Linked DNA regions of Macaca mulatta. The protein of the gene in region 4 purifies or fractionates together with the protein of the main gene of each other region. This does not show direct contact. Links are inferred from orthologs where the notes say so. Each region holds a gene or a part of one and is shown on either strand. Other genes may lie near its edges.

Region 1 (4,246 bases), on a different chromosome or scaffold from region 4:
TGAGCCACCACGTCCGGCCAACCACAGCCCCTCTTTTAGGCCTTTTCTTATTGCAATGAGTTTTCAATGTGTCCAATGGCCGAATTGCCCAGATGTTTGGAAGCTTGATGCAAACAGAATTCAGAGCCACACAGGCACCGCTAGCAAATCCACATCTCTGATGCTGAGGGCCCCAGAATCTGTGTTTTGAACGCATTTTTCAGATGCTTTTACTGTACCTTACAACCAAGATCGGGAGAGGTATGCAAACCAAGGGCCCTGTCCCCTCCAAAGCAGCAGAGTCCAGGGGCATGAGGATGGCAAGCGAAGTGACAACATAAACACAGGTGTCTCCATCTTCAAGGATGGGAGTAGAACGGACAGGAAGGGCCGGGTCACCCCCAGAGCATTCGTCAGTTGCCAAGTCCAAAGCTAAGAAACCAGTTCATAAATGTTTTTTTATTTGCATGTTGGCTCAAGTCCTCTTTTTAAGTCCAAGGAGGCAGTCCACGTTAAGTGTGCAGGCAAAAAAGGGACAGGAAAAGCAGGCAATTTCTCCCCTGCCCTCCCGCTCTCCTTTTATCAAGCTGAGCACCTTGAGTTGCATTTGAGGAAATTAAAACTATAGGTGACAGAACCCCCTTGTATCGAATTCTTTCTTTACATTTTTTGGGTTGCTACAAGGAATCACTATATATATGTATATATGTATATATATATATATATTTTATCAGGTGGTACGTGTGGTGGCTCACACCTGTCATCCCAGCACTTTGGGAGGCCGAGGCAGGAGGATCACTTGAGGCCAGAAGTTTGAGGCTGCAGTGATCATGCCACTGCACTCCAGCCTGGGCAACAGAGTGAGACCCTGTCTCTAAAAAATTTTTTAAAAATCAACGCATGAGACAAAACTTTAACAAGAGAATAAAGAGGGTTGTAAGGTGGAGATGTGGGCAGCACTCCAACTCCACTTTCAAGTTCAGAGGCAGAAAGAGCAACTTTCTCTCCCACGCTTGTAGGGAGGGCCCGTGGGCTGTCTCTAGCCCTCACCTCACAGCTGGTCTTCTCGCTCTCCCTGTTCAGCTTCTGCTCTGGCCTCGGCCCTCAGCACCCTGAGGCTCCTGGCCTCGCCTGCCCTGGGGACTCTCTTGGGCAGGGTTGGCAACCGGGGAGTGTGCCAGAAGGCTCTCCGGGGCTTGCGAAACCACGAAAAGCGTCCAGGGGTCTGGAACCTCACTGTCTTGACCTGTTTCCGGGCCCTGGCTCCTGAAGCTGTTCCTGTGGCCCCTTGGGTAGCTGAGGCTTCAGCTTCCTGGATACCTGGGGCCCCTGCCGTCTGATTATGTGCAGCCTCTGCCCTTTGGCCAGCCCGGGCCTGTGCCCTCTGATTACCTGCACCCTGGACAGCTGGGGCCCTTTCCCTCTGGTCATGTATGGCCTCTTCCCTTCGAGGATCTGTAGCCTCTGACCCCTGGTCAGCTAGAGCCTCTTCCCTCAGGTTATCTGCACCCTGTGGCCTATGGTCAGCTGGGGCCTCTGCCCTCTGATTATCTGCAGCCTCTTCCCCATGGTTATCTGCAGCCTCTGCCCCCTGGTCAGCTGGGGCCCCTGCCCTCTGATTACCTGCAGCCTCTTCCCTCTGGTCAGCTATGGCCTCTTCCCTCTGATTATCTGCAGCCTCTTCCCTATGGTTATCTGCATCCTCTGCCCCCTGGTCAGCTGGGGCCCCTGCCCTCTGATTACCTGCAGCCTCTTCCTCCTGGTCAGCTATGGCCTCTTCCCTCTGATTATCTGCAGCCTCTTCCCCCTGATCAGCCTCGATGTCTGCCCCCCGACCTGTGGGCGCTGTCTGCTCCTTCCTGCGGCGCCTAAACGAGGCCCAGTTGATCTTGGGCCTCCATCGCCTAGGGGAGGCCTGCGGGGCACAGACATCTCCCACATTTTCCACAGGATCCCCGGGATCCCCCGGGCTGGTGCCGGAGGATACCCCTGCGCTCTCCACTGGGATGGAGGCCAGCCGGGCCTCGCCCACCCCGGGGCCCGCCCTCGGCGCCCAACCCTTCACCCTCCGCTTCAGCTTCCCCCAGGACACCTGGCTGACATACTCCCGCCACCTGTCCGCCTTGGACAGCTGAGGCCCCAGGTTGTCCTCAAACATGGGCACTGGCAGGTTGACGCGGCGGCGGGCAGGCGGCGCGGGGGGCTGCTTCTCCTGTCGCCGGAGAAATGCCTCCACCAGTTCCTCATCATCCTCGCTCTCCACGTCGCTTCCCAGGAACTTGCTGCCCAGGTAGCTGACGGGCATTTTGCGCACCTTCTTGCCCCGCCGCGGGCCCTGGCGGCTCTTGTCTCTGGAGGTCTCGAAGTCGCTGAACTCGCTGTCGCTGGCGTTGCTGCTGTCATACGTGCCCACGACCAGCCGGGGCGTAGGAGTCACCATCTGCTGCACTCTCCTCCTCACTCGGGGCTCCTTGGGCTTTTTGGGGGGCTGGGGCGGGTGCGGGGTGCTCTTCTCGATGATGCGGGCCACGTCCTCCAGGGTGCGGCCCTGTTCTTCCAGGAACTGGGTCAGCCGCTCCCGAAATTCTGCTTCCTTGGTGGCAGGCTTAGAGATGACTCTCCAGACGCCCCCGGCCAGCCTGACCTCCCGGGGGATGAGCAAATAGTCGACGTCCTCCCCGATCTGCAGCATCCCCACCGTGGAGTCCTCCTCCTTGCGGAACACCTTGCCGATCTTCTTAAATGTTCCCACGGGTTTTAGGGCTTCCACGAGGACGTCCAAATCCACATCTTTGCAGACATCGGGGACGCTCCAAAGAATGAGGCAGTCGGGGGACGGGAGGAAGCCCCAGGGGAACCAGCCCCCCACGTGGCTTTTCTCGAGAGTCTTTAAGATCTCCAGGGTGATATCTGGGGTGAGGGAGCAAAGAGCCCCAACAAACTACTGTAGCCCTTAGTCTTGAGGGAGGGACTGGATGGGGGGAGTCCCAGCAACGCTGACCGCAGAGTCTCACCTCCCCAGCCAGGGACGAGTCAACGCCTCCAATCTCTTCTCCTGCAACAAGTCCAGTCTTGACCAAGTCCGGCTCCTCCACCAAGGACTTGGGAGAATCAATTTCCAGGATGCCTACGTGAGCCGGAGGCGAGGTCAGTCCCAAGGTTCAAGGCCCACTCCAAGCTGGAAACGTGGTGTCCCAGCTCCAAGTTGGGGCGCGCGGGCTGCCAGCGATTCTTCCTGCCCCAGGCCCCTGGGACGCGGTTGGAACTTGGGAGAGGACTTCGCAGACAAAGACGGTCCAGTCGAGGCTATTCAATATGGCGGAGGCGCTGAGAGGCCTCAGCCCGGCCCCCCAGTAGGGTCCCCCGCCCCCAGGCAGGCCACCACCCAGCTCCAGGCTGACCTTGACGCGCCGCAGCCTGCCAGCCCGCGCGCTTAGGGCTCTGCACGGTGGAGCGCACCAGCAGGAAGTTCCTCCTTGCCCTCCGCCAGAATGAGGCCCACCTTCCCCCGTCTCATCTTACACTCCCAGACTCTGGAAGACTGACAGGGGGGCTGTCCACTCCCTTCGGGGCAGCCTCCTTCCCCTCCCCCACAGGGGTGTGGCCGCGCCTGGGGCCTAGCTGGGCCCATTGCTTCCCAGCGAAGCGGCGGTGGCCCACGTCAGCACCTTTGCTGAAAGGCAGCGGTTCCCAAACCTGCCATCCGAAATGTACAAGTTTCCAGCCAAGTCCTGGAGGTGGGTGTGCCAGTGGATTCTACCTTTTGAGAGCCACTGGCACCATAGATTAGCATTTTAAATTCACGCGACTATCCGTACCCGTACACCCAGACGCGTGGGTAGAGAAATGGGTACCGGGATCTTATTGCAACAGTCCCCCTGTGACGCTTGGCAGGAGGTCAGGGCTCTACATATTTTTGAGTGGATGAATAAACCTGAATGTTCATAGCCAGGCGCGGTGGCTCATGCCTGTAATCCCAGCACTTTGGGAGGCCTAGGCGGGTGGAACACTTGGAGGCCAGGAGTTCGAGACCAGCCTGGCCAACATGGTGAAACCCTCGTCTCTACAAAAAATACAAAAATTAGCCGGGTGTGGTGGTGTGCGTGTGTAGTCCCAGCTACACGGGAGGCTGAGGCAGGAGAATGGCATGAACCCGGGAGGTGGAGGTTGCAGAGATGGCGCCACTGCACTCCAGCCTGGGCAACAGAGGGAGACTCTGTCTCAAAAAAACAAAAACAAAACAAACAAACAAACAAAAAAAGCCAAA
Region 2 (4,245 bases), about 47 Mb from region 4:
TTGACTCCTCCCAGCTTGCCAACCCCTGGTGGAAATCAACCCACTTAGAGGAAATCCAAAGGGTAGAAACAACTAAAAATTGAAAATTCCTGTTAATGTTAGCAATGTCAAAAATCCAGGAGACCCCAGCTATTCAGGAGACTGAGGCAGGAAGATTGCTTGAGCCCAGGAGTTCCAGGCCAGCCTGGGCAACATGTGAGACCCCGTCTCTAAAACAAAACAAAACAGAAAAAGAAAAATCCAAGAGCTTGGTTTTTGTTTGTTTGTTTTTGAGACAGAGTCTCACTCTGTTGCCCAGGCTGGAGTGCAGTGGCGTAATCTCGGCTCACCGCAACCTCTGCCTCCTGGGTTCAAGCAATTCTCCTGCCTCAGCCTCCTGAGTAGTTGGGATTATGGGCATGCGCACACCACGCCCGGCTAATTTTTGTATTTTCAGTAGAGACGGGGTTTCACCTTGTTGGCCAGGCTGGTCTCCAACTCCTGACCTCAGGTGATCTGCCCGCCTCAGCCTCCCGAAGTGCTGGGATTACAGGCGTGAGCCACCACGCCCTGCCAAGGAGCTTGTTAAGTGATCAAAGGGAGAAAACAGGGTATCAGTAGATGACAGAAAAATTTTTTAGAGAACAAATTTTGCTTTAGACATCCGTCAACTTAAAGAAAGTAGAAAACTGTTTGTAATAAACTGAAATATTTGGGACTGATCTTGATGTCTGCCAAAACATGTAAGAGTGTCAAGATCAGTCCCAAATATTTCAGTTTATTATAAACAAAGACTAGTAAGTCGTCTCTACTATTGGAGAAAAAAAAAGACTGAAATGCAAAAATTCCTGAAAATGAGTAAATAGGGCAAAGATAAAATACTATATAAATGTCTCTGTCAGTTCACAAGACCTTAGCCTGGACAGTCAACGTCCAGTTAGAAATAACGTTTGAAAATTCAGTAAGAGAAAAGGAAGTCCTCTTCTGTAATACTCAGTAAATAATGTTTAAAATTAACATATCTGGGAATATGATAGTAAATAGCTCCCCCAAAAAACTGAAAAAGTTGAAAGCAGTTTTCCTGGAGACAGGAAGTGGTGAGGTAGGTAAATTATGGTTTCATTATTGGCACATAACACTTTGAACTGTGTACATGTGTGATTTTAACACAAATGTTTAAAGATTAAATTTAAGAAAATAAAGTGTGAGCAAGAACTCCATTGCTATGGCAACTCGTGCGGCAGCCGCCTCTTTGTTCTTGGGTTGTTCCTCTCTCAACCGCCCAATTCCTCCGTCCTCGAGCGGCGGCTACGCCCCCTCCAGTGTGAAAGGCTGCGTTTCCGGCCCGTGGGGCTCCAATCAAAATGGGACGCCTGCTAGCGGTAACGGCCAGCCGGAGGGACGCGAAGGCCGGGGCCCCGCCCCCGACAGTAGGGTGTGTGACGTCACTTCCGGCTTCCTTCTGTCTGCTGTCCCTGAGCACGAGCTGTGAGGGGATTCACTTGTGTGCGGAATTCCTCGGAACTATGGTGAGCCTGACCTCCCTGTCTCTTGCCCTGCCCCTGCTTCCCCGTGCTCTTGGCACCCCACTGCTTCCTCTGTCCTGCTGGGGTTGTAGGCTCCGTTTCTGGCTTTCCGGCCCGCCGCACATGGTGCGAGCCGTGGGGCGTGCGGCCTGTGCCAGGCCAGCCGGTGGAGCCCACCACGAAGGGGAGGAGTGGACCGCAAAGCCAGCGTCTCCTGCCCAGGCCTTTGCATAGTCCCGGGAGCCTAGGCCCGCGCCTCACCCCAAGCGAAGAAATTTCTAGTGTGGGACCCGCCCCGCCCTCCCTCTAGGGGCGGAGCCTGGAGCGGCGGGGCCCGAGCCACCCGAGGGTGGAAGATGGAGGCCGCGTTCCCTCGCCCGCATGGCAGGCGTCCCCTCGATGGCAAAAAACCCCTCCCTGCCTCATTCTTAGTTCCACATCGTCTTTTGTCTAGCCGTAGGTAACTGTCAGTCTCGCTGGTGTATAGTTTATACTCCTGGGGCCTTGTAAATCCGAAAAGCCATGTCGCTCTCCTACAAGTCCCTCTCTCCCACTTAAATGCCTTCTCCGATGATGGAAGCTTCATTTGTTTGAAAACATTATTGTAAATGAGTTTTCTCTTAGATATCCACTTGTAAGACAAGTGGAAGGCACCTCAGTGTATGTGTTAGAGTATTGGTACTTAAACGAAATGCCTCTTGGTTTTCTTTTTTAGGCGTCCCTTTCCCTTGCACCTGTTAACATCTTCAAGGCAGGAGCTGATGAAGAGAGAGCAGAGACAGCTCGCCTGGTAAGCCTTGTTCTAACTTTTGTTTTAAAGATAAAACTGGAGGCCAGGTGCGGTGGCTCACTCCTGTAATCCCAGTACTTTGGGAGGCCGAGTTAGGCGGATGAACTGAGGTCAGGAGTTCGAGACCAGCCTGGCCAACATGGCGAAACCCCGTTTCTACTAAAAATACAAAAATTAGTCGGGCGTGGTGACGGGCGCCTGTAATCCCAGCTACTTGGGAGCCTCAGGTAGGAAGATCGCTTGAACCCAGGAGGCGGAGGTTGCGGTGGGCTGAGATCGCACCATTGCACTCCAGCCTGGGGGACAGAGCGAGACTCTGCCTCAAAAAAAAAAAAAAGTAAATAAAGATAAAACTGTACTTGAAGACGGTAAAGTTGATTCTGATAATCTCCTTGGTTTTTACTCCAGACTTCTTTTATTGGTGCCATCGCCATTGGAGACTTGGTAAAGAGCACCTTGGGACCCAAAGGCATGGTAAGAAAAATAGAAAAGTTTTATGTTTTAATATTGTTTTAGAGCCCTTAGTGGAAATATAATTAATAACAAACATTTTAAAATGCTTTTTAATCTTTAGAACGTTTAATTATAAAAGACAAGTATGTTCTTAGTAAAAATCAGAGTCCCCAGAATCACCATCCCCAATCCTATGCCCCTCCTCAGTGACAAGTAGTGTTATAATTTGCATGTACTACTTCTAATTTTCTGTTTATGTAGAATTATGTGTACTTTATTATGTATTTTATACTCATGTAATATATACTGTTTTATAAAACATAGATACTATTTATCAATACTGTTTTGTAGCTTGGTCTTTTAAATTCCTTTCAGTGTAAGTAGATAATACTGCCTCCTCTTTAACTGTCAAATATTATCCTGTACCTTAATTATTTTATAATTTAATTATGGCTGTACTGATAGTTTCTTTCCATTGTTTTTGCAGTTAACAGTGTTGAAACAAAAACTAGTGTCTCCCTGTGCTTCTGATGTTTCTAGGGGTAGATACCACGGTTTGGTTAACATGGTGTATGTATTGAAAACATTTGATGAATGGATACCACAAAATAGCCATCCAGGGTGTTGATAACACTAGCACTGTATGAGAATACTGATTGAACCATGCATTCTTCAAGATGTACTTATATCTTAACTTGAACCAATTATGTTCCCTTTAGGACAAAATTCTTCTAAGCAGCGGACGAGATGCCTCTCTTATGGTAACCAATGATGGTGCCACTATTCTGAAAAACATTGGTGTTGACAATCCAGCAGCTAAAGTTTTAGTTGGTAAGTCTGAATATACTTTTTCACCAACCTAATAATACTATTGGTTAACATTTTTGAAATAACTTTATAAATAGGCTGTGTTGACCAATTGTACTGTCAATTGATATCCACTGGGTTTTAATTATCATTGTTAAAATACAAGCTTCAGGAGTGCCATATATTGGTGGTAAACTGTTGCATTTCAGACCTCAAAGTTCCAAAGAATTTTTTGTATGAGGAACCTTGATAAGTTTAGATTGGTAGTGAATATTTTTGGAGAATTTAGTAAGCAAAGAAGCAATTTTGAGTTAACTAATTTCTTTTTCTAGATATGTCAAGGGTTCAAGATGATGAAGTTGGTGATGGCACTACCTCTGTTACCGTTTTAGCAGCAGAATTATTAAGGGTAAGAGCAACTGAGCAACTCTGTTTTTCCTACTGTTTTTGAGTATCAGAGGTAATCAAGTCCTTACTTCCTCCATCTTTACTGTTGAGTGCTTAATAATTTTCTATTTATAACTTTTATTTTATAACTATTAATAGGAAGCAGAATCTTTAATTGCAAAAAAGATTCATCCACAGACCATCATAGCGGGTTGGAGAGAAGCCACAAAGGCTGCAAGAGAGGCACTGTTGAGTTCTGCAGTCGATCATGGGTTGGTACACCAAAGTTCTACTATTCTAAAC
Region 3 (4,067 bases), on a different chromosome or scaffold from region 4:
AGTGAGACCTACCTGTGAAGATAAGTTCAGATCCAGAGAGTAAATGAGAATATGCTGATTTATGTCTGAGGCAATGCAAGACCATATACACAAGAATAAAATGATTTAAAGATAAGCAGATGTGAGTACAATTCCCTAAATCTAGTAAGAAGCTTCATTTCAGAGCGCTTTTTATCTTTCAGTACTGACTGTCCAACTGACCAACTTTGAGATCTCTTGTCAAGAGCTCCATAATAATAACCTATTACTTGCTCTGAAAATGCATTTATTAACTCAGAGTAATTATGAGTCACTAGGAAAAAGATAATCTTACATAAAAAGTTAGGCAATTAGGCCAGGCGTGGTGGCTCACGCCTATAATCCCAGCACTTTGGGAGGCCGAGGCAGGTGGATCACGAGGTCAGGAGATCGAGACCATCCTGGCTAACATGGTGAAACCCCGTCTCTACCAAAAATACAAAAAATTAGCCGGGCGTGGTGGCGGGCGCCTGTAGTCCCAGCTACTTGGGAGGCTGAGGCAGGAGAATGGCATGAACCCAGGAAGCAGAGCTTACAGTGAGCCGAGACCGCGCCGCTGTACTCCAGCCTGGGTGGCAGAGCAAGACTCCGTGTCAAAAAAAAAAGTTAAGCAATTAATTCCAAAGGACTTGAGTTCTGGCAAAAAAAAAAAAAAAGGAATTTAAAATTAAAAGTCCAACAATTTCTTACCATCTTCAAATTCTTTTTTTAAAAAAGAAAACATACATAAAAGAAAAACAACAACAAAAAGAGTAGCAATACCTGGTACAGATTAATTCAAGGCCTCTTAAAATTCACATACAACTTTTAAAAGGCCCATGCTTCTCAAGTATTCATAATCCAATGATGTCACTATTAACTTATGGTACCTCTGAAGTTTTCTAGGTGTGTTGTATTAAAAATCGCATATATTTTCACAAAAGTGTATCATTTGGCATTTAAAACATGCATCACACCCATTTTATGTTCAAAGACTTATGACCCATTACATCGGTTAAAATATTCATTCAGCTTCTCTGAGACAATTGTCCGCAACCCCAAAGCAAACAGGTTCTTAGGCAAAGGAAGCAAAAAAGTAAAGCGTGTTTTAAAACCAGCCACTGAAATATCCTACTCTCACTCATCCATGGTTGGAGAGAATCAGATTTCACTTTGCAATTCACAAACATGTCTGCTTCTCCATGTTGCTTAGCGCTTGCCAATAATGCCGTTGTCCCTGCTCAATGAAGAAGGACCCAGAGTAGAGGACCCTTCCTGTGACAAGACAACAATAAAAGGTATCTCCAAAAGAAAATATTTTAACGTGAGTCCAATTTTTAATTATAAAACATTTAAACATGTAATTTTTATATCAGATAGTACTGAAATGAACAGTGCAGAATCACAAGTCTAACAATGCAGTTGATAAAATTACTCTAAAAGCAAGACGACCGTTTCATATTTCTTTCAAATAACTCAAGTGCTTAGTCATAGTCAAATTCGTGGATTGGGTTACTCTTAAGGGAGTTGAGATCTTACTAAATAGCAGGTAGGTAATCGGTTAAATCTGTAATTCGATGCACTTGGTAATACTAAACTAAAAGATAAGTTTTAGTGTTACAGTAGAATAAAGTGCAAAATTTTTAAGTAATAATGGATGAAATTTTGATTTGAAATGTTTTCAAAACAATTCCATTCTAAAGAAAGAGGCCTAAAGGCTCCTGCACTTGTAAATAATTCTCCATGGCCAGCATAAAGTGGGTTCTATCACATCATAAAGGGAAAAAAACCCCTGCGTTTTAAGTGACCCGAAATTCTGCCACTGCTTTTTAGACTGCACAGTGGAGGAGACTATTGTTCTATGACACAGATACATTCTATTGTGACGCTCTAATGGAAAAATGCATGTTCCTAAAACCCAAACGTGAAGTTCCCACTAAAAGTGAACCAAAGCAGCTGGACATCCTATTTCTTTAAAAGCCAGACACTTCGAGTTAAGTTATACACAGCTCTTACAAGTCACACCACTCTGAAGATGGTATCTGCTATCACAATAGTTATTTCAACGACTCCAAGTCATAGCAAAACAACGCGAAGAAATATTTACAAGGAACAGGCGGCTATGTGCAGAAACTCGGCGCCCGCACACAGTTAGCCAGGACCGACGGGTAGCTAGTGACGCCAGACACGGGGGAGAAAGGATGGCAGCCAAGAACCGGGCGGCCTCAGACCACCACCGCAGCTCTCCCTCCCGACCACAACAAAAGCCAGACACCGACACACGCCCATGCTCACGACAGCCAAGGGACCCCCATTCACAACCCCGCCGCCACCCCCGCCCTAGTCCCCGGGACAGCAGGCTTAAGGCCAAGAGAGGCCCCCGGCCATAGCCTGGGCCTTGCAGCCGAGCCTGCGCCGGCTGACGCTCGGCCGGTGCAGAGAAAGCCCAGCCCGGGGTTCGGCTCACACTTATGGAGCGCTGTGAGGACGCGCGGCCAGAGCAGGCCTCGCTGAATCGGGGGCGGAGAGGGTGGACGAGACCTGATGGTGTCTCCCGAAGAACGGGGTCGACAACACGATCCACCGGGCCCGAAAGAAGGCCAGGCCCAGTCACCGCCCGCCGCGGGCAGGCCCAAACCGCAGCAGTGAGGCCAGCCTGCATGCAATCCGGGAGCCACGACCCTTTCCAGCTCAGTGGGCGGCTACTCACGGTGTTCGGTGTTAAGGAGACTGCCGGCGGGAGGCTGACGAGAGCTAGGAGACGTCAGCGGAGGAACAGAAAAGCGGAGGACGAAGCCACTACAGCCTCTCGGCGCGGCGCGGCGTCTGCTTTATAGGAGAGGGCGCAGGCGCCGAGGACCCCGGGGCGCGCGGCGTCACACAGCGGCTGGGCTGGCCGCCGAGATCGCCTGACGGCAGGCCGAAGACGGCGGGGCGGGCCCAGGCCGGGAGGCGACGAGGAGCTGCCGGGGCGGCTGGCCGGGGGGTTGGGGAACGGGAGAGCTTTCGCCTTTCCCTAGCTCTGAAAGCGCCGCGCTCTCTCATCAACTGGGTGCCGAACCCTGACTGGCCTAGAAAGGTCTTTCAGGCAGGGGCGCCCTAAGCCGAGTAAAATACCCCAGCTAAACGGCCTGGAAAAAACAAAACGGGGCGTGTGTGCGCCTATGTGTGTGTTCCTGGGAACAACAGAACGGGGCGCGCGCGCGTGTGTGTGTGTGTTCATTCCTGGGAGGGGCTGCGTGTGTGTGTACGCGCGTGTGTTCATTCCTGAGGTGTATGTGTGTGCGCGCGCGGGTGTGTGTGTGTTCATTCCTGGGGTGGGGATGGGGGGGCGCTTGTGTGTGTGTGTTTTACTACTGAACTGATACAGCTTGTCCAGCCTCCATTCTCCACAGTAACCCTCCGAGGTGAAATAGTGTTAGCCTTTTCGCCTCTGCAGTGAGGGAACAGGTTCGGAACGGTTAAGTGGCAGAGCCAGGATTTGAACATTACTCCACAGTTAGGTGCCGTTAGCCCTTATTTCCTACTATTGACTTCTAAAGAGGCTTCCGTGCCAAAAATAGCCATCGTCGTAGGGAAACCCCAAATCTAGAGAGATGGCTTCCATCTAGCAATAGGTACCCATTCCTTCACTAAACATGCTCTGAGCCCGACATGCGAGGCGTGGTGCTGGGGATTCGGCAGTGAACCAGGCAGCCAGGGCCCGGCCTGGACAGAACTCTTGTCTGGGGTGCTCCCAGGAAGGCTGTGATGAGGTCGATGGAATGAAGCCTGCAGTAAAGGAACGGGAGTAGTCTGAAAGCCCCACCCCGCTCTGCTCGGGAACGTTATTCTCCCTGTCCTAGGAGACTGGGCGCCGGGCTCGTCTAGCCAATAGGCACGTGATGGTATCCCTGACACAGGAAGACAAAAGATACTTCCACACAGGGCCCCCTGAAGAAACCGGAGACGTACAGTGCCTCTGGGATGGGACTGGGCAGGAATGCCAAGCAGCTTCTTGAGTTACCAGGTCTTTGTCTACAAGCTGTGGTATCCAGTGTCTGCCAGGTGCCACAGCTGATGACAGAAGA
Region 4 (4,087 bases):
GGAAGGGATATATATATATATATATATATACACACACACACACACACACATACACACACATAAAAATAAAATTACAAATTGTGTTATGGATTATGATGAGAAGTACAGGATGCTGTGAGAATGAATAACAGGGATACCTGATGTTTCTTGAGTGGAGGTTGGAAGATTAAGTGAAATGTGAGTTAAGATATGAAAGATGTGTAGGAGTTAACCAGGTCAAGGTGGGGGGGGAACTTCCGGCTGAGGGAATTCAGGTGCAAAGAAAACATTTTTAAGTGGAATGCCATCGTATGTCACTTTCTTTCCCATCTTAAAGCCCTTGGATTTCCTTCTGGAAATCTCTCTCCTAAGATCTGACCTTCCCTTGGCTGGTTTCTCTTTCGGATTTTATTTTATTTTATTTTTTATTTTTTTCATAGGTTTTTTTGGGAAGAGGTGGTATTTGGTTACATGAGTAAGTTCTTTAGTGGTGATTTGTGAGATTTTGGTGCACCCATCACCCAAGCAGTAGACACCGAACCCAAGTTATAGTCTTTTATCCCTCCCCACCTTCCCACTCTCCCTTCTCCCCCGTCTCCCGTTCCCAAAGTCCACTGTGTCATTCTTATGCCTTTGCATCCTCGTAGTTTAGCTCCCACTTATGAGTGAGAACATATGATGTTTAGTTTTCCATTCCTGAGTTACTTCGCTTAGAATAATAGTATCCAACCCCATCCAGGTTGCTACGAATGCCGTGAATTTATTCCTTTTTATGGCTGAGTAGTATTCCACCATATGTATATACCAGTTTCTTTATCCACCCATTGATTCTCTTTTACATTTTAATTCAAATAACATCTTAAAGAGACTTTCACTATCAATCCTTACTCCCCTTACCTTACCTTATTTTGTTTTCTTCCTAATACCTATCACTGATTCAAATGTTCATATTTCTTTGTTTAAAGTCTCCCTTCCCACTTAAACGCATGCTCCCAGACGTCAGGGTTTTTTGTTTTGTTTTGCAGATTTAAATGCTGAATTCTCGGTGCCTGGCATATAGTAGTCGCTCAATGCATGTTTGTTGAATGAAGGAACAATGCTCGGCGCAAAGTCAGAGCTTAGCAAAAGTGATAGGCAGGAGAGCTGACCGGCTGAAGAGCAGCTGCGTAGACCTCCGCCTGGGCACCACAAGCCAGACCACCACTTGCGCACAGGGGCAGCGCGGAGGGCGTGGCGGGGGCGTGGCCGCCCACCCGGAACCCTAGAGCTGCGGCAACAGCGGCTTCCGGCCGCGGCGGACACTTCCGTGGAAGGGACTGTCCCGTGGCACCCGGTGGAACCGAGGAGAACGTGGAGCGCCGGGAGCAGTGAATATGGACGACTGCAGCCTGGATGAGTTCCGTCGGCGCTGGCAGGAGGAGCTGGCGCAGGCCCAGGCGCCGAGGAAGCGGCGACGGCCCGAGGCTGCCGAGAGGTGGGCTCGGCGGCCGGAGGTGGTCCCCGGGCGCGGCGAACAGGCCTCGGGGGACCCGGCGCTGGCCCAGGGTCTCCTGGAGGGCGCGGGGAGGCCCCCGGCAGCGCGGGCGACTCGGACCGAGGGGCAGGACGTGGCGAGCCGCTCCCGTTCTCCTCTGGCCCGCGAGGGTGCCGGGGGCGGGGAGCAGCTGGTGGACCAGCTCATCCGCGACCTGGTGAGTGGCCGTCGCCTCCCCCACCCCGCCCCCCGATGCCTGCGCCGGCCCCCGCCCCCAGGACAAACCCCTGCAGTGATTTGGAGAGTAACTCTGTGCCATCAGTTGCCCGAGAAAATGAGTAGACGCACAAACACCGATGTTTGTGCGTGCATAGGGTCTTTCTGGAAGCAGCGCTTCTCAACCAGGGCGATTTTGTTCCCCCAGGTGTGTCAGTGTCTGCAGACATTTTTGGGTGCCTCATCGGGGTGTGTTTGTGTGCATGTTACTGAGCATCTAGTGGTTAGAGGCCAGAGATGCTCGTGAACATCCTACAATGAACAGGACAGCACGCACAAAAAATTATCCAGGCCAAAATGTCAGTAAGTGTGGGGTTGAGAAACCTGCTCTTGAAAGCTACCTAAACTTTGAACAAAGGTTGCCTTTGAAAAGGAGGACCCAGGTAATGGATAGGAAGGAATTTTGCCTTTTCTTTGTATACTGTTTGCACTATTTAATTTTTGCAACCGTGCAAAAAAATTAACTCAGAAAAGAGGAAGAGGAGGAAGAATCTCTTGGGCACTTTAATTAGGATAGAGTTTATCTTTTTGTGGGGCATGGATCCCTTGGAGAATATGGAGGAAGCTGGGGACCCTCTGTCCGTTAAAAATAACCACCTTCAAAAAGTTGGGAAAATCAAGAACAGCTGAAATGCATCCGTGGCTCACAGGTTAAGCGGACAAGGCACCAGGTTCTAATGGTTTGATTTAAATTAGGCCCAAAGGAAGTTTCTACAGCTTTCCAGTTGGGAACCCACTTTTTTTTTTTCTGTTTTTTTTTTTTTTTGAGACAGGGTCTTGCCCTGTTGCCCAGGCTACAGTGTAGTGTTGCACTCCTGGCCCACTGCAGCCTCAAATTGCCTGGCTCAAGCCATCCTCTTCCCTCAGCATCCCGCGTAGCTGGAAGTACACGCATGCACCACCACACTCAGCTAATTTTTAAAATTTTTTTGGTAGAGACAAGGTCTCCCTGTATTGCCCAGTCCGGTCTCAAACTCCTGAGCTCAAGTGATCCTCCCAATTGAGAATAATAATAATTTTTTTTTTTTTTTTTTTGAGACTGAGTCTTGCTCTGTCGCCCAGGCTGGAGTGCAGTGGCGCGATATCGGCTTACTGCAAGCTCCGTCTCCCAGGTTCACCCCATTCTCCTGCCTCAGCCTCCCCAGTAGCTGGGACTACAGGCGCCCGCCACCACTCCCGGCTAATTTCTTTTTGTATTTTTAGTAGAGACGGGGTTTCACTGTGTTAGCCAGGATGGTCTCGATCACTTGACCTCGTGATCCGCCTGCCTCGGCTTCCCAAAGTGCTGGGATTACAGGCATGAGCCACCGCGCCCGGCCGAGAATAATTCTTTTTTTTTTTTTTTTTTTTTTTTTTTGTTTTTGAGACAGAGTCTCGCTCTGCCGCCCAGGCTGGAGTGCAGTGGCGTGATCTTGGCTCACTGCAAGCTCCGCCTCCCGGGTTCACGCCATTCTCCTGCCTCAGCCTCCCGAGTAGCTGGGACTACAGGCGCCCGCCACCTCGCCCGGCTAGATTTTTTTTGTATTTTTTAGTAGAGACGGGGTTTCACCGTGTCAGCCAGGATGGTCTCGATCTCCTGACCTCGTGATCCGCCCGTCTCGGCCTCCCAAAGTGCTGGGGAGAATAATTCTTTAAGTGGCAAACTTTCAAGAAATAACGGCTTATTTCATGTAATGTGTAGTTTACTCAAATAGCATTAATAGCTCCTATTTGAGTTTTTACCAAGTGTTTAGTCCTGTGCTCTGCCCTAATTCGAATGTAACAATCCTGTGAGGTAGATTTTAACTCTTCTTTTACAAATGAAGAAACTCAGAGATTCTCTGTAACTTGCCCAGCGTTACCCCAGCTGATAGATTCTGGGGATTGAATTTGGATCCAGGTCTTTTCAATTCCAAGTTTCACCACGTGCACTTGAGTTTGCGTAAGAATCCCTTCAGGCTTTGTTATAATAAAGTTCTGGACCCTCCCCAGACCTGCTAATTCCCTCACCAGGGAAGGGGTCCTGAAATCGGATGACTGGCATGATCAGGCAAGTTTCAGACATTATACTCTACTGTATAGCCTCCTTTGCTTTAAGGTCCTGATTCTCAAGGCTTTCCATTTGTAACACCTTAGAGGTATAGGCATTGATGCCAAAAATAGTAAAGAAGTAAATCAAGTACAGTTGACCTTTGAACAACAGGGGGGTTAGGGAAACTGACCTCCTTGCAGTAAAAAATCTGCATGTAACTTTTGACTCTCCCAGAACTTAACTACTGTTGACCAGAAGCCTTAGAGGTAACAGTCAGATAACGCATATTTTGTATTTTATGTGTGTTACATACTGTAGCCTTACAATAAAGTAAGCTTGAGGAGAAA

Evidence for each region. Proteins that work in one complex are often made in the same cells at the same time.
Region 1: the proteins of FBXW8 (region 4) and CCDC8 purify together in Homo sapiens (affinity purification with mass spectrometry; 3 studies listed by BioGRID and IntAct, with this or other methods). This does not show direct contact. The link is inferred for Macaca mulatta from reciprocal best matches to the Homo sapiens genes FBXW8 and CCDC8.
Region 2: the proteins of FBXW8 (region 4) and CCT2 purify together in Homo sapiens (co-immunoprecipitation; 3 studies listed by BioGRID and IntAct, with this or other methods). This does not show direct contact. The link is inferred for Macaca mulatta from reciprocal best matches to the Homo sapiens genes FBXW8 and CCT2.
Region 3: the proteins of FBXW8 (region 4) and SKP1 purify together in Homo sapiens (affinity purification with western blotting; 14 studies listed by BioGRID and IntAct, with this or other methods). This does not show direct contact. The link is inferred for Macaca mulatta from reciprocal best matches to the Homo sapiens genes FBXW8 and SKP1.

Annotation. Positions count from the first base shown.
Region 1 is NC_133424.1:58,899,853-58,904,098, forward strand, and holds the start of CCDC8 (coiled-coil domain-containing protein 8), read right to left. Parts: upstream 2,808-4,246; 5' UTR 2,672-2,807; coding exon 1,031-2,671; 3' UTR 847-1,030; exon of another isoform or gene 420-846; intron 1-419. UniProt on the Homo sapiens protein: Core component of the 3M complex, a complex required to regulate microtubule dynamics and genome integrity. It is unclear how the 3M complex regulates microtubules, it could act by controlling the level of a microtubule stabilizer.
Region 2 is NC_133416.1:76,712,775-76,717,019, forward strand, and holds the start of CCT2 (T-complex protein 1 subunit beta), read left to right. Parts: upstream 1-1,438; 5' UTR 1,439-1,505; coding exon 1,506-1,508; intron 1,509-2,220; coding exon 2,221-2,295; intron 2,296-2,703; coding exon 2,704-2,769; intron 2,770-3,467; coding exon 3,468-3,579; intron 3,580-3,887; coding exon 3,888-3,964; intron 3,965-4,101; coding exon 4,102-4,214; intron 4,215-4,245. UniProt on the Homo sapiens protein: Component of the chaperonin-containing T-complex (TRiC), a molecular chaperone complex that assists the folding of actin, tubulin and other proteins upon ATP hydrolysis.
Region 3 is NC_133411.1:143,076,116-143,080,182, forward strand, and holds the start of SKP1 (S-phase kinase-associated protein 1), read right to left. Parts: upstream 2,808-4,067; 5' UTR 2,708-2,807; exon of another isoform or gene 2,539-2,707; intron 1-2,538. UniProt on the Homo sapiens protein: Essential component of the SCF (SKP1-CUL1-F-box protein) ubiquitin ligase complex, which mediates the ubiquitination of proteins involved in cell cycle progression, signal transduction and transcription.
Region 4 is NC_133416.1:124,175,958-124,180,044, forward strand, and holds the start of FBXW8 (F-box/WD repeat-containing protein 8), read left to right. Parts: upstream 1-1,279; 5' UTR 1,280-1,352; coding exon 1,353-1,670; intron 1,671-3,980; exon of another isoform or gene 3,981-4,087. UniProt on the Homo sapiens protein: Substrate-recognition component of the Cul7-RING(FBXW8) ubiquitin ligase complex, which mediates the ubiquitination and subsequent proteasomal degradation of target proteins.